Oryctolagus cuniculus: one gene and its partners. The protein of the gene in region 2 purifies or fractionates together with the protein of the main gene of each other region. This does not show direct contact. Links are inferred from orthologs where the notes say so. Each region holds a gene or a part of one and is shown on either strand. Other genes may lie near its edges. The genes, in order: PLCG1, KHDRBS1 and LCK.

The links.
Region 1: the proteins of KHDRBS1 (region 2) and PLCG1 purify together in Homo sapiens (affinity purification with western blotting; 7 studies listed by BioGRID and IntAct, with this or other methods). This does not show direct contact. The link is inferred for Oryctolagus cuniculus from reciprocal best matches to the Homo sapiens genes KHDRBS1 and PLCG1.
Region 3: the proteins of KHDRBS1 (region 2) and LCK purify together in Homo sapiens (affinity purification with western blotting; 5 studies listed by BioGRID and IntAct, with this or other methods). This does not show direct contact. The link is inferred for Oryctolagus cuniculus from reciprocal best matches to the Homo sapiens genes KHDRBS1 and LCK.

Annotation. Positions count from the first base shown.
Region 1 is NC_091442.1:17,778,177-17,781,818, forward strand, and holds part of PLCG1 (1-phosphatidylinositol 4,5-bisphosphate phosphodiesterase gamma-1), read right to left. Parts: intron 2,458-3,642; coding exon 2,373-2,457; intron 2,276-2,372; coding exon 2,192-2,275; intron 1,967-2,191; coding exon 1,932-1,966; intron 1,719-1,931; coding exon 1,646-1,718; intron 1,542-1,645; coding exon 1,440-1,541; intron 1,216-1,439; coding exon 1,097-1,215; intron 1,013-1,096; coding exon 927-1,012; intron 852-926; coding exon 731-851; intron 49-730; coding exon 1-48. UniProt on the Homo sapiens protein: Mediates the production of the second messenger molecules diacylglycerol (DAG) and inositol 1,4,5-trisphosphate (IP3). Plays an important role in the regulation of intracellular signaling cascades.
Region 2 is NC_091438.1:140,421,274-140,425,373, reverse strand, and holds the start of KHDRBS1 (KH domain-containing, RNA-binding, signal transduction-associated protein 1), read left to right. Parts: upstream 1-1,256; 5' UTR 1,257-1,477; coding exon 1,478-1,859; intron 1,860-4,100. UniProt on the Homo sapiens protein: Recruited and tyrosine phosphorylated by several receptor systems, for example the T-cell, leptin and insulin receptors. Once phosphorylated, functions as an adapter protein in signal transduction cascades by binding to SH2 and SH3 domain-containing proteins.
Region 3 is NC_091438.1:140,199,650-140,203,291, forward strand, and holds part of LCK (tyrosine-protein kinase Lck), read right to left. Parts: intron 953-3,642; 5' UTR 948-952; coding exon 843-947; intron 560-842; coding exon 478-559; intron 295-477; coding exon 204-294; intron 22-203; coding exon 1-21. UniProt on the Homo sapiens protein: Non-receptor tyrosine-protein kinase that plays an essential role in the selection and maturation of developing T-cells in the thymus and in the function of mature T-cells. Plays a key role in T-cell antigen receptor (TCR)-linked signal transduction pathways.

The DNA of each region.
Region 1 (3,642 bases), on a different chromosome or scaffold from region 2:
TGCTGGGCAATGCTGCAGTGGTCCTCGATGGACAGGATGACCGGGTACCTGCAGGACAGACGATGGGTGCAGGGACACAGACACTGCAATTCTGCTGATCCAGGGCTCAGTCCAAACAGCCCCTTACAGACTAAGATACTGGGAAACAAGGGCCTGAGGACCTTGTCTATGGAAAAGATAGACCACAACCACTGGCAAGTAGAAGGGGTTTTTCAGGGGGAAGCCTTGGGGTAGCAATAGCTGCACAGAAGTAGTTCCCAGTTAATCCAATTACACAGATTGCCCAGCAGTGCAGATATCCTACACTGAAGAGGTCAGAATAGGTAAGAGACCTCCTAATTTAGCTATCGGGGACCACTGGTGATTCCTTGAGTGAGGCGAGACACAAGTGACCACAGGTTAGGTGGTAAATAAGAATCTAGGAATGGGATACAGTGAATGTAGGTAATTCCCTAGGCTATGAAGTAAAGAAACTGGCAGGTCACTGGCATAAAGAGACCAGGGTTAACACTGAGAAGAGCTAAAATGTGTTCCTCAGGTTGAAGAGAAAGGCCAGGAACCATGTGGGCCAAGGATGCAGGAAACAGGAATTAACAGGAAAATAGAGCAAGGAGAGGAGGGCAGGCCAAGAGGAAGGAGAGGGGAGTGGGGATGGGTATGAGGGGGTCCCTCTGTCCCAGGAGTCAGAGTTAGGGGCCGGGTTCACCAGGAGGACCCCCTCTCCACTCACTCTGAGGCCACAAAGGCATGTTCCTTGATGGTATGCAGGACATCTGAGAACTTGATCTTGGTGGTAAGGGTGTGTCCATGGTAAATGACTGGCATCCCATCTGGGCCATCCCAGCAGTCCACTGGGAAGCAACATTATCACAGTCAAAGGGGCAGGCCTCGCACCTTCCCCCTCCCAGGTCCTGGCCCCCACGCACATTCAATGCAGCGACAGCCCATCCGCAGACACCGAGCATAGGCTTCCAGGGAGGACTCGCTGGAGAACTGGTCCCCAGTCAGGTACCTGGATAGGCAAGAAGTGGGTGTGGTCAGGTGGGCTCCTCTTCCTCGAGAGAGGGCAGAGTGGGGCTGAGGGAGCCACACTCACGTGTTGTGTGAGGATGAGATCCAATAGTGGGAGAGAGGGTTGTTCATGGTGTCTGGGCACACTGCATCCAGCTGGGAGTTCCACACACTGTTCTCTTTGGAGAACAGGAAGGTGACAAACTGTCCAAAACAAATGTGGAAGGGAAGACAAAGTGAGCCCCTGCCTGGCCCCGGGATGGTGAACAGGGGTGGAAGAGAGGTCACTCAGCCTCAGCTGGGGTGGTCAAGGTGGATTTCAGGTGTAACAAGGAGGAATCTCTGAGAAGCTGGCTCTTGGGGTTCAGTTGGGCTTCTGGTCACCACCACCCCCCGCCCTGACATAAAGAGATAACAGTGAAGCCCACCTCATCCAGGAAGAAGTATGGTTCCTCAATCTCTCGCAAGGGGTCCCGGAGAAAGCTGAGCATGAATTCCTGTACCTGGAGCCGGTCAATGGCCCATAGCTCCTGACAGGGAGGGGAACAAAGGGAAGGCATGGGAGAGGCCTCAGGTCAGGGATGAACCCAGCCCTGAAGCCTGATACCCTGGCCCAGCCCCAGCCCTGCCATACCCCCTGGTACTCAAGGAGGAACTGCTGGAACTCAGGAAGGGTCACTCGGCAAAGATCTGGTCGCTCCCCTGTCCTGCAGGGAGAGAAATGGTAAGTGCCTGGCAGCCAGTTGGCTAGCACTGCTAACAGCTAGGGGCCCCCTGGAAGGCAGAGGCCAACTCCCAGCCAGCATAGCTACCCAGAGTAGTCTAGCATGGCTCACCCTTTTCACATGGATTAGGAAGTACCCATGACAGAGATGAGGGAGGCCCAGGAAAGAACCCCACCTCCCCACTCCGAACCAAACCTCAGGGCGCTGGCTTCCAAGAAGGGGAGATCCATCTGCAGGAAACAGAACCTGGTCAGGGTGCAAGTCCTTGGGGGCCTCACAGGAAACGGCCTCTTAGGAAGAGAGGCTGGGGCAGCAAGGGACAGACCTCAGGAGAAGAAAGGCTAGAGAAATGGCACCCAAAAGCCCCCAAGCAGGGCAGCAGGGTTGAGGCAAGCAGGGCTGAGGATGGAGTGGAGAGGCAGGGCAGGGCAGGGGAGGGTAGGTGGCTCATGCACCGTCTTCTGGGCGCTGTACATGAGGCTGCGGTACAGCTGAGCAAACTGCCCGTAGGTGATGTCCCCACTGCGCTGCTCCAGGTCCTACACAGTACAGAGCAGGATGGCTAGTCAGGCACCCAGCCAAAGGCTTCTGGCCACCCTGGCCCCTCCCCTGCAGACAGCTCCAGGAGGTCCTTACCGTCAGCCGCTCCTTGAGGAAGCGCATGTTGGGGACCCGGTAGTTGACCTGGGACAGCATGTTCTTCAGGTCTTTGGCTGAAATACTGAGAAAACAGGTGTGTCCTCAGGGGCCTCTGATGTGTGGGCCAACCCACCTGGGGCTGGATAGGTAATCAGTACTACTCTGGGAATCTGGAATCCTGGGCACGAGACTGAATCAGAACCCACAAGGTGGACAAGGGAAGTCTCTTCCTTCTCTGGGCCTCAGTTGCCTCATATGAGCAAAGAAAATTCCATGATTCTGACAATGAGGAAGTGGCCAGGCTCAGTAAAACAGGTCAGGCCTAACAGGAGGGAAAAATCAAACCCCTGGCCTCCCCTCCTTGCAGTACTGCTGAAGCCTGTACCTCCAGCTCTCCAGGTGCCAGCTGGCCCCTGCAGGGCACAAGGGAGGGCTCACTGGCAAATTCCCTACAAGGGGTAGCTCAGCAGTGGGATGATGGGATGCTGGGAGTTTGCTCCTCGGAGCATATTATCCCCAAGCCCCATCAGCACCCAGTGCCACAGTGCAAGGAATATGGGAGGAGGGGATAGGCACACTCAGAGAAACTGCTGGTGACTGGGTACTTTCCTGGTGTCGGATGGGAAAGGAACTCTAGAGAGCAAGCATCCCTGCCCTCCAGGGTACCCTGTGCAGGATGGGAGAGCCAGGGGATATTGTTGGACCTGGCAACAGGATGGACAAGATGGGAGAAAAAGGATTTCTCTTCTGAAATGTGGAGATAGCCCGATAGGCAGCAGTAAAACCAGAGGGAACTCGGCTTCTCCACAGGGGTCCAGTATGGCTGAGCCTCATCTGACCCTCAGTCCCAAGAGGTAAAAGCTGTCAGGGTTTCGAGTTTCTGGTAAGGAACGAGATGCCTTCTTATCTAAAAGGCTTGTGCCACCAGAGCTTCCCTGTGGACTGTTCCCATCAGCATGTTAACCGTCTGTTGTCTCCCACCAAAAGACAGGTCTTGCCCTGCTTACCTCTCCCTGTTCCCCTCTGCGGTACAAACTTCCAGAAGTAGTTTCCCAAGCCCCCTTTCACGCCTGGAGCCCTCACCATTCTGCTGATGCTGCTCTCCCACCATGCTGTTTGACCCAAGGGTCATGTCACAGTCTTCCCTCAGGCTGCCAGAATTCAATACCATTTTCCTCTTACTAGCTCACACTAGCCGCCATTCATCCCCAATCTCTGAGATGGGCTGGCATCCCTGTTCTTGCCACTTGCCTCTGGGTGATCTTAT
Region 2 (4,100 bases):
ACACACATGCCCCACCACCATCACCACCACGGTAGTTTAAAAAGTTGAAGGAAAAATGGAAGTAAAATATATTTGGGTAGGTACAAAAAATTTCGAAATCTATGCAAAAAGTCTTTAAAAATGCAACATTACAAGGATCTCGAAATTGTTTTGCACCAGATTTGTTCCCATGAACTTTTTGACATACCCTCATGTATTTTTATTTATATAACCCATAATCTGTACAAAATTTTTTATGTATTTTGTACTTTATACGTATAATTTATGGATATTAGCGTTTTGTTCTCATTTTAGTAAAAAAACGTAGCCAAGCCTTTATGTTCCCTCATTAAAGGGGTCTGAGCTTCAAATCCAGAAATCACGTTTCCAAGCACCCAGCAGGCAGTTTCCAGAGACGCTTTTGAAAGTCGCGAGCTCATTTAGGAAACAGATCCGGAAGGAAAAGGGATGGAAGGAGTACTCTGAATGGGTGAAGAAAAAAAAAAAAAAAAAAAACCTGCGGCCGGAAGGGAAAGTTAGAGACGCGCCAGGCGTTCGATGACTGATAGTAGAGACCCGGGCTCCCCCGCACGCAGCTCCCAGACCCGAGCCGGCCTCGGGCGAGAGATCCGCTGCCCAAGGCCCTCGCCTCAGCACGGCCGCCTGAGACCCGGCCTCTGCTCACTCCGCGAAATAACCGCTTCAAGCGGGAAGCAGGCTGCGACACGGACGGACTTCCCCGACTAACCACGGCTAGCGTGTCAGAACCTAGTGTGCGGGAAACCTCGGGACAGCACGGGGCTCCCTGCTACGCTTCAGGTCTCCGCCCTCTCAGTTCAAGTCTCCCAGTCAGCCGGCCGTCCCCAGCGCCACCACGCATCCCGGCGTCAGCCTCTCCCTGCGCCTCCCTCCCCGCGTGCCCCACGCAGCCAGCACGTCTTCACGCCGGTGGCCGGCCCACACCCCCCGCCCGGCTCCGCGGCTCGGCCGTTGGAGGGGGCGTGGCCCACGAGTAACAGGTCTCCCCCCCACCTCCGCCCCACGCTCGCCGCCGGCCCGCGCTCAGACAAAGACATTCCACAGCCCCCGCCCCCTCCGCGCACCCGGTCCGAAGGGGGAGGAGACACGTGTCCCGCTAGCGCCGAGTCACGTGGGAGAAAAAACGAACGGAGCCCGCGGCCGTCCGCGCACGCGCGCCAAGCTCCGGCCTGGCGGGCTCCGAGGGAAAAGAGGAGGGGGGAGGCCTCCGGTTCGGGCACCACGGCAGTGCGCAGGCGCCGTGGCCCGACTGGGGACTTTGTTCTTCGCGGAGAAACCCAAGGGCGGTGCCGGGATTTGGTGCGCACGCGCGCTGCCTCATTTCCGGTGCTCTCTCTGGCTGGGTCGCTCGGGTCGGCTTCGGTCGCTGTTGCTCCCGCTCTACCACCGCCGCCGCCAACCGCCGCCCGGGCCTCGGCCGCGTCGGTCCCCTCGATCGCTCGATCGCACATCCTCCGCGATGCAGCGCCGGGACGACCCCGCCGCGCGCATGACCCGGTCCTCGGGCCGCAGTGGCTCCATGGACCCCTCGGGTGCCCACCCCTCGGTGCGTCAGACGCCGTCTCGGCAACCGCCGCTGCCTCACCGGTCCCGGGGAGGCGGAGGAGGGCCCCGGGGGGGCGCCCGGGCCTCGCCCGCCACGCAGCCGCCGCCACTGCTGCCGCCCTCGGCCACGGGTCCCGACGCGACGGTGGGTGGTCCGGCGCCGACCCCGCTGCTGCCCCCATCAGCCACGGCCTCGGTCAAGATGGAGCCTGAGAACAAGTACCTGCCCGAACTCATGGCCGAGAAGGACTCGCTCGACCCGTCCTTCACTCATGCCATGCAGCTGCTGACTGCAGGTGAGCGGGCCTCGGGGTCCCTCGGGGTCGCTGGACCACCGGGGCGGGAGGGGTGCGGGAGGAGGTTGGCAGCGGCTTTGTTCCTCTGGCATCCCAGTCCCTCGGGACCGTGGCGGTCGGGAGCTCCCCCTCTGGCCCTCGTCTTCGGGGGCCTGAAGCCCGCCTTCCCACCCCGGCGCAGGGTTGCTGCGGGCGCCCGAAAGCGACTGGGAGATCTCCGAGCGCCGAGCTCCCCGCCCCCTTCCCGACCCTCCCCCTCCCTCCTCTCGCAGCTGCCCCGCGCTCCGAGTGCTCAGATTCTTCCAGAAATGAGCCCGTATCTCCCGCGTCCCCCCCGAGGGGAAGGCTCTTGGGTGGCGGGGAGCGCCTCGGCCGTGGGTGTCGGCGCTGCAGGCAGCCCGAGCCGGCGGGGATCGTGGGAGGCCGGAGGGCCCTGGCCGGCGCGCGGGCGTCTCGCGGGCCCGGCCGCACTTGGCCGTCACGGGAGCTGGAGTTGCGCCGAGGCACAGCGACTCGTGGGAGTCGGAGCTTGAGGTTTTCCGAATCAGATGTCCGAATCGGGCAGGTGAAATGAGGATTGTGCAGAGCCGGAAGGTTGTCGCCGTTTTATTTTACAACGTGCTTTCAACCGTCATTCAAGAAGCGGGGAAGCAGCCCTGGGGACAGTGAAATGAGATGACGGGAGGCGGTAAGGGCTGCAGGGGAGCTCCCAGGACGGGCCCCACCGCGAGGGACGGACCGTGGAGAGAAGTTGCTCGGTGCCTGCACCTGGAAGACTTGGCCTTTTGTGTTCATTCTTGCTTCCGTGGCGAGATAGATGGGAATGGTAGTCTTTGTTCTCCGCGGACGGGAGCTTCTTCCCTCGGCAGCCCTGACCCCCTCCCTAATCGCTCTGATTTCTCACTGCAGCCTCTTTTTGACCTTTTCTTATAGTTAGAAATGTTTTTCAAAGAAATATTTATTATACCTAAATGGTAGAGTAACAGTTCATGGCCTTCGACGCTGAATGAGAAGTCGGAGCCATTGACAAGATTGATACAAGGGACAGTTCATTGACAGTTCATTATGAAAATCTCATTTCCTTCCCTTTGTTCTCTCTCCCAACACTGGTAAGGGTTTTTTTTTTTTTTTAACGCAATAAACAATTAGAAAATTTCGATAAATTGCTTAAGATCTTTAACTCAGTTCTGTGCTGTCCTATATAACCACATTCTACTTTTCCTGTTTTCTTCTGACAGGCTCTTTGAGAGCAAGAATTGCTTTTTATATTTAAACATGTTTTTTGGTACTGTGCTGGACATAGCAAACTCCAGGTGTTTGAAAATGTACACATGCAAACTCAGGAATGTCAGACTAATTGGTAAAGTTTGGTTTAGCAGTCGGATTTTTAATTTTCTCAAATCTTCAGGCAGTACGCATTGCATTAAACGCAGGAGAATAAAGTACACTTTAGAGCCTAAAGGTGTTGACTTGGTTCTCAGCGCTGGCCCTTAATTAGTTACCGGCTCTGGGGAAGCTTTCTGAACCTCAGTAACCTCATTTGTAAAGTGGATGGTAAGTTTGGAAGATTAAATGATCTGTAAAATCACCAGCAGTTTCTTTTGATCTGTATCATTAGCTAGAAGAAGCTGTCACCACAATTTTTTTCTGGTTGTGAATCCATGGTAATGAACAAGGTATGAGAACTTAAGATATATTTTGCCCTTCTGACTATCTCCATTGCCCAGCGTGATGTTCATCTTTTAAGATAGTTTCTTAGGATAACCATTAAAAATCATTGATCCTTAAAGATTATTTATATTTTTCATTCTCTCACTGCTCCTTATTTTTTTTCAAACTTGGGCTTTTTTAATGCCTTTTTTTTTTAACCTAAAGAGGATGGAAATATTGAGAACAAAATTGGGTTGTGTGGATACTTCTTAGCATAGAAAAGTCTTAATGTTTGTTGGATATGGTTCTTAAGGTATTTCTAGAGAAGAGATTACAGTGAAGTCAACCAATCATAAGGAAATGAGACTGAGAAGAAAGAATAGTGTTTAATCCCTGAGAACATATATTAGAAAAACAGCTAACGTTGTGTCAGGCCCTGGATTAGAGCACTTTACATATTCATGACAACACTAGAAGTTATTCTTTTTTTTTTTTTTTTAATTTATTTGACATGTAGAGTTTACAGACAGTGAGAGAGACAGAGAGAAAAGTCTTCCTTCCATTGGTTCACTCTCCAAATGGCTGAAACGG
Region 3 (3,642 bases), about 220 kb from region 2:
GCCTTCCACCACTCCCCGTTCCTGTGCCACAGAGGCTATCAGCGCGGCCAGCCATGGACTCGCTGGAGACCCTTCTCACGACCCCCAGTCGCGCCGGGCCAGCGCCCCGGAGCTTCCCAAGGACGCCCACCCGGACCCAGTCAGGGGTCCACAGGAGGGATCCCCGCCCTTGCAGGATGTGTGGGTGGGGAGGGGGCACTCACTGCTCCAGGATACGGAGCTGTTCACCCTTCTCGAAGCCCAGGTCTCCGTCGTGAGAGGGCTCATAGCTGTGCAGGGCGATAACCAGGTTGTCTGTAAAGACAAGGGGGCTGGAGGCAGTGGCCTGGGACAGGCAGGGAGTAGGTACCGGAGTTCTGGAGTCACAGGGCAGGGGACAAGGAAGAGAGGGGCGGGACAGGGCAGAGGTGGGTGGGGAGGACTAGGGAGCCAAGGATCCACAGGTCTTATCTTCTAGGCCCCGCTGGTTTCCGTTACCTTGCAGTGGGGATGCCGGAGGGTTTGAACCTTCATAGGTGACCAGTGGGTCCCGAACCTCAGAGCCGTTCCGGATGGGCAGCTGTGGGGTGGGGGTAAGAGGGCAGAAGGCCGGGTCAGCCTCTGACTGCCTCCCCCTGCCTTGCTCGCCTCTGCTTCTCCAGTCTGGCACGGTCTCGCCCCTGAACTGGACAACCGCTTGCCTTGTGACCTTCGAAGAGTCCCTTCCCCTCTCTGGACCCCTCTGTTTCCGCATCCAGGCAGGGCCACCCTCTGATTTACAGGACCGACAATGGTGGTCCGTTTCTCCCTCTGCTGTGTGCTCCTCCCAACTCCCTCACCGCGGCCCCTGCCTGGCCTCTTACCGTGGCCTTGCCTTCCAGTGGGACTATGGGGTAGTGGCAGTTCTCACACACGTCGATGTTTTCCATCCAGTCATCTTCAGGGTTTGAGCTGCAGCTACAGCCCATGGTCCCTGGGAGAATGGAGAGGGGGTTGACAGGGCTCCCCCAGCGTCAGGCATTTCCCCAGGACCGTGAGATGCTCAGCTCCTGGGCCCCCATCCATCAGCTACAGAAAAGCTGAGACGGGGGACCCTCGCTCCTGACTGGGGGGGAGCCCCAGGGGCCACACGGAACAGCACGCACCCGAGGCTCCCCAGGCTGAGCCAGAGGCCCCGCCCTCCCACCTGGGATGGGCAAACTGCCACAGGCACCTTTGTTAGTCTAGTTACCCACTTCCTCCCTCTGCCGTTGGGGGACTACCTCCTGGAGATCACACAAACTCCCCGGAGCCCTGGGGGAGCCCTGGGTCCCCTACCACCCCCACCTCAAATACAATTGCCCTTGCAGGCAAGGAAGCTGAGCCTCTCTCCGCTCTCTCCCCGGTGTTGACAGGCAGGCCCTGCTTCCCCACACACCCACGCGGTCAGCCTCACAGAGTTCCTACACGAAAACCCTTCAGGGGCCCTGTTGGCCATAACTTGTTTTGTTTGTTTGCCTGTTACAGCAGTGGAAACTTTTGTCAGTTGAAAGCAAGCAGAACACCACAAATAAAGCCGGTCAGAGCCAGCGGATCTTCCTGCGGCAGGGCAGCGTGGCGGCCCCACTCCAAGGCCCCTAGGAGCCCTCAGGCCGCACCTTCCCTGCTCCTGAGAACCGCTTGGAAAACCCCAGGCCCTGCAGTGGGCGTGTGGAGAGATGGCTAAGCTGTTGCGTGGCACACTCGCTTCCCATATCAGAGTGCCTGGGTTCGAGTCCTGGCCCCACCGTCCACTCTAGCTTCCTGCTAATGTGCACCCTGGGAGACAGCAGATGACTCAGGCACCTGGGTCCCTGTCACTCACGTTGGGAGACCTGGATCGAGTTCCTGGCTCCTGGCTTCAGCCTGCCCAAGCCCTGGCTGTTGCAGGCATTTGGGGAATGAACCAGCAGGTGGAAGATCTCTTTGTGTCTCTCTCTGCCTCTGTCTCTTTTCCCCTATCTGCATCTTTTTTATAAATAAAATAATTTTTTTTTTGACAGGCAGAGTTAGACAGTGAGAGAGAGAGAGCAGAGAGAGGTCTTCCTTCCATTGGTTCACCCCCCAAATGGCAGCTACAGCTGGCCCCGTGTGCCAATCTGAAGCCAGGAGCCTGGTACTTCCTCCTGGTCTCCCATGCGGGTGCAGGGCCCAAGCACCTGGGCCATCCTCCACTGCCCTCCCGGGCCACAGCAGAGAGCTGGACTGGAAGAGGAGCAACCGGGACAGAATCCGACGCCCTGACCAGGACTAGAACCCGGAGTGCCAGTGCCGCAGGCAGAGTATTAGCCTAGTGAGCCATGGCGCTGGCAAAATTTTAAAAACTAGTCCTCAAAGTTTAATTTACTATGTATGCAAGACCCTTTAATACCAAGACCAAATCCACCTTCTCAGTTTGTTCTGCTATACACACACACACACACACGTCCTGTGTTCTGAACTACTCTTGCCTTTCCCAAATACCCAATGCTTCTTTCTTTCTCTCTCTCTTTCCTTCCTTCTTTCTTTCTTTAAAGACATATTTATTTATTTGAAAGTCAGAGTTACAGAAAGGAGAGGCAGATCCTCCATCTGCTGGTTCACTCCCCAGATGGCCACAACAACCAAAGCCAGGAGCCAGGAGCCCCATCCAGGTCTCCCGTGAGGGTGTAGGGGCCACAGCACTTGGGCCAGCTTTCCTGCTTTTCGCAGGCCATCAGCAGGGAGCTTGTTGGGAAGTGGAGCAGCCAGGACCTAAACCGGTGCCCATATGGGAGGCGGCGCTGCAAGGGGCAGCTTTACCTGCCACTGCCACAATGCCTCCCCCACCCCCGCTGCAATCTTTGTTCGAGTGCTGGTACCTTTGGTTCTGCTTGCCTTGGAATGCTCGGTTGTCTTCCTGCTGAATTCTAATTGGACCCTCCAGGTTCTCCCGGCCCTTGGCCTACTCTGTGAGGCCTTGCCCGGCTCTGCATTCTCCACTCGCCCCAGGCTCCTGTAAATCCTCAGACCACAGTCCTCAACTTGGGCCCTGAGTTCCATATGACTCGTTGATGGGTCAGCCCCACCCCTTAGATGAGGCTGGGTGGGGACTCACTTGCCTGAAAGCCCCCCCCCCCATACACATTCATCAATGCCAGTTGGCATGTGGAGGGTTAAACTCACAAAGGTCTTAGAAGCCATCCAGCGGCTGGCGCCGCGGCACACTAGGCTAATCCTCCACCTTGTGGCGCCGGCACACCAGGTTCTAGTCCCAGTCGCCAGCCGCGGCGGCCATTGGAGGGTGAACCAACGGCAAAGGAAGACCTTTCTCTCTGTCTCTCTCTCTCTCACTGTCCACTCTGCCTGTCAAAAAAAAAAAAAAAAAAAAAAAAAAAGCCATCCAGCCTAACATCTGTTTTTATTTGAGCAACCCTAGGCCAGAGAGGCCTGCCTAAGGTCACACAACCTGTGTGGGGAGAGCAGAACCGGAGCTGCTAACCCGTCCAGGATCTAAGTGGAGGGAGGGAGCGCTGGAAGTTTCTGGTCAGCGAGAATCAGGAGATAGGCCCAGAGTTGGAGAGACTGAAGTTCAAATGCCTGCTCTGACACTGTGCTGTTTGCCGAAACCCTTCTTCCTGAGCCTCACTTTCCTCTTCTTTCAAATGGGATCGTCCCCTTCTAATG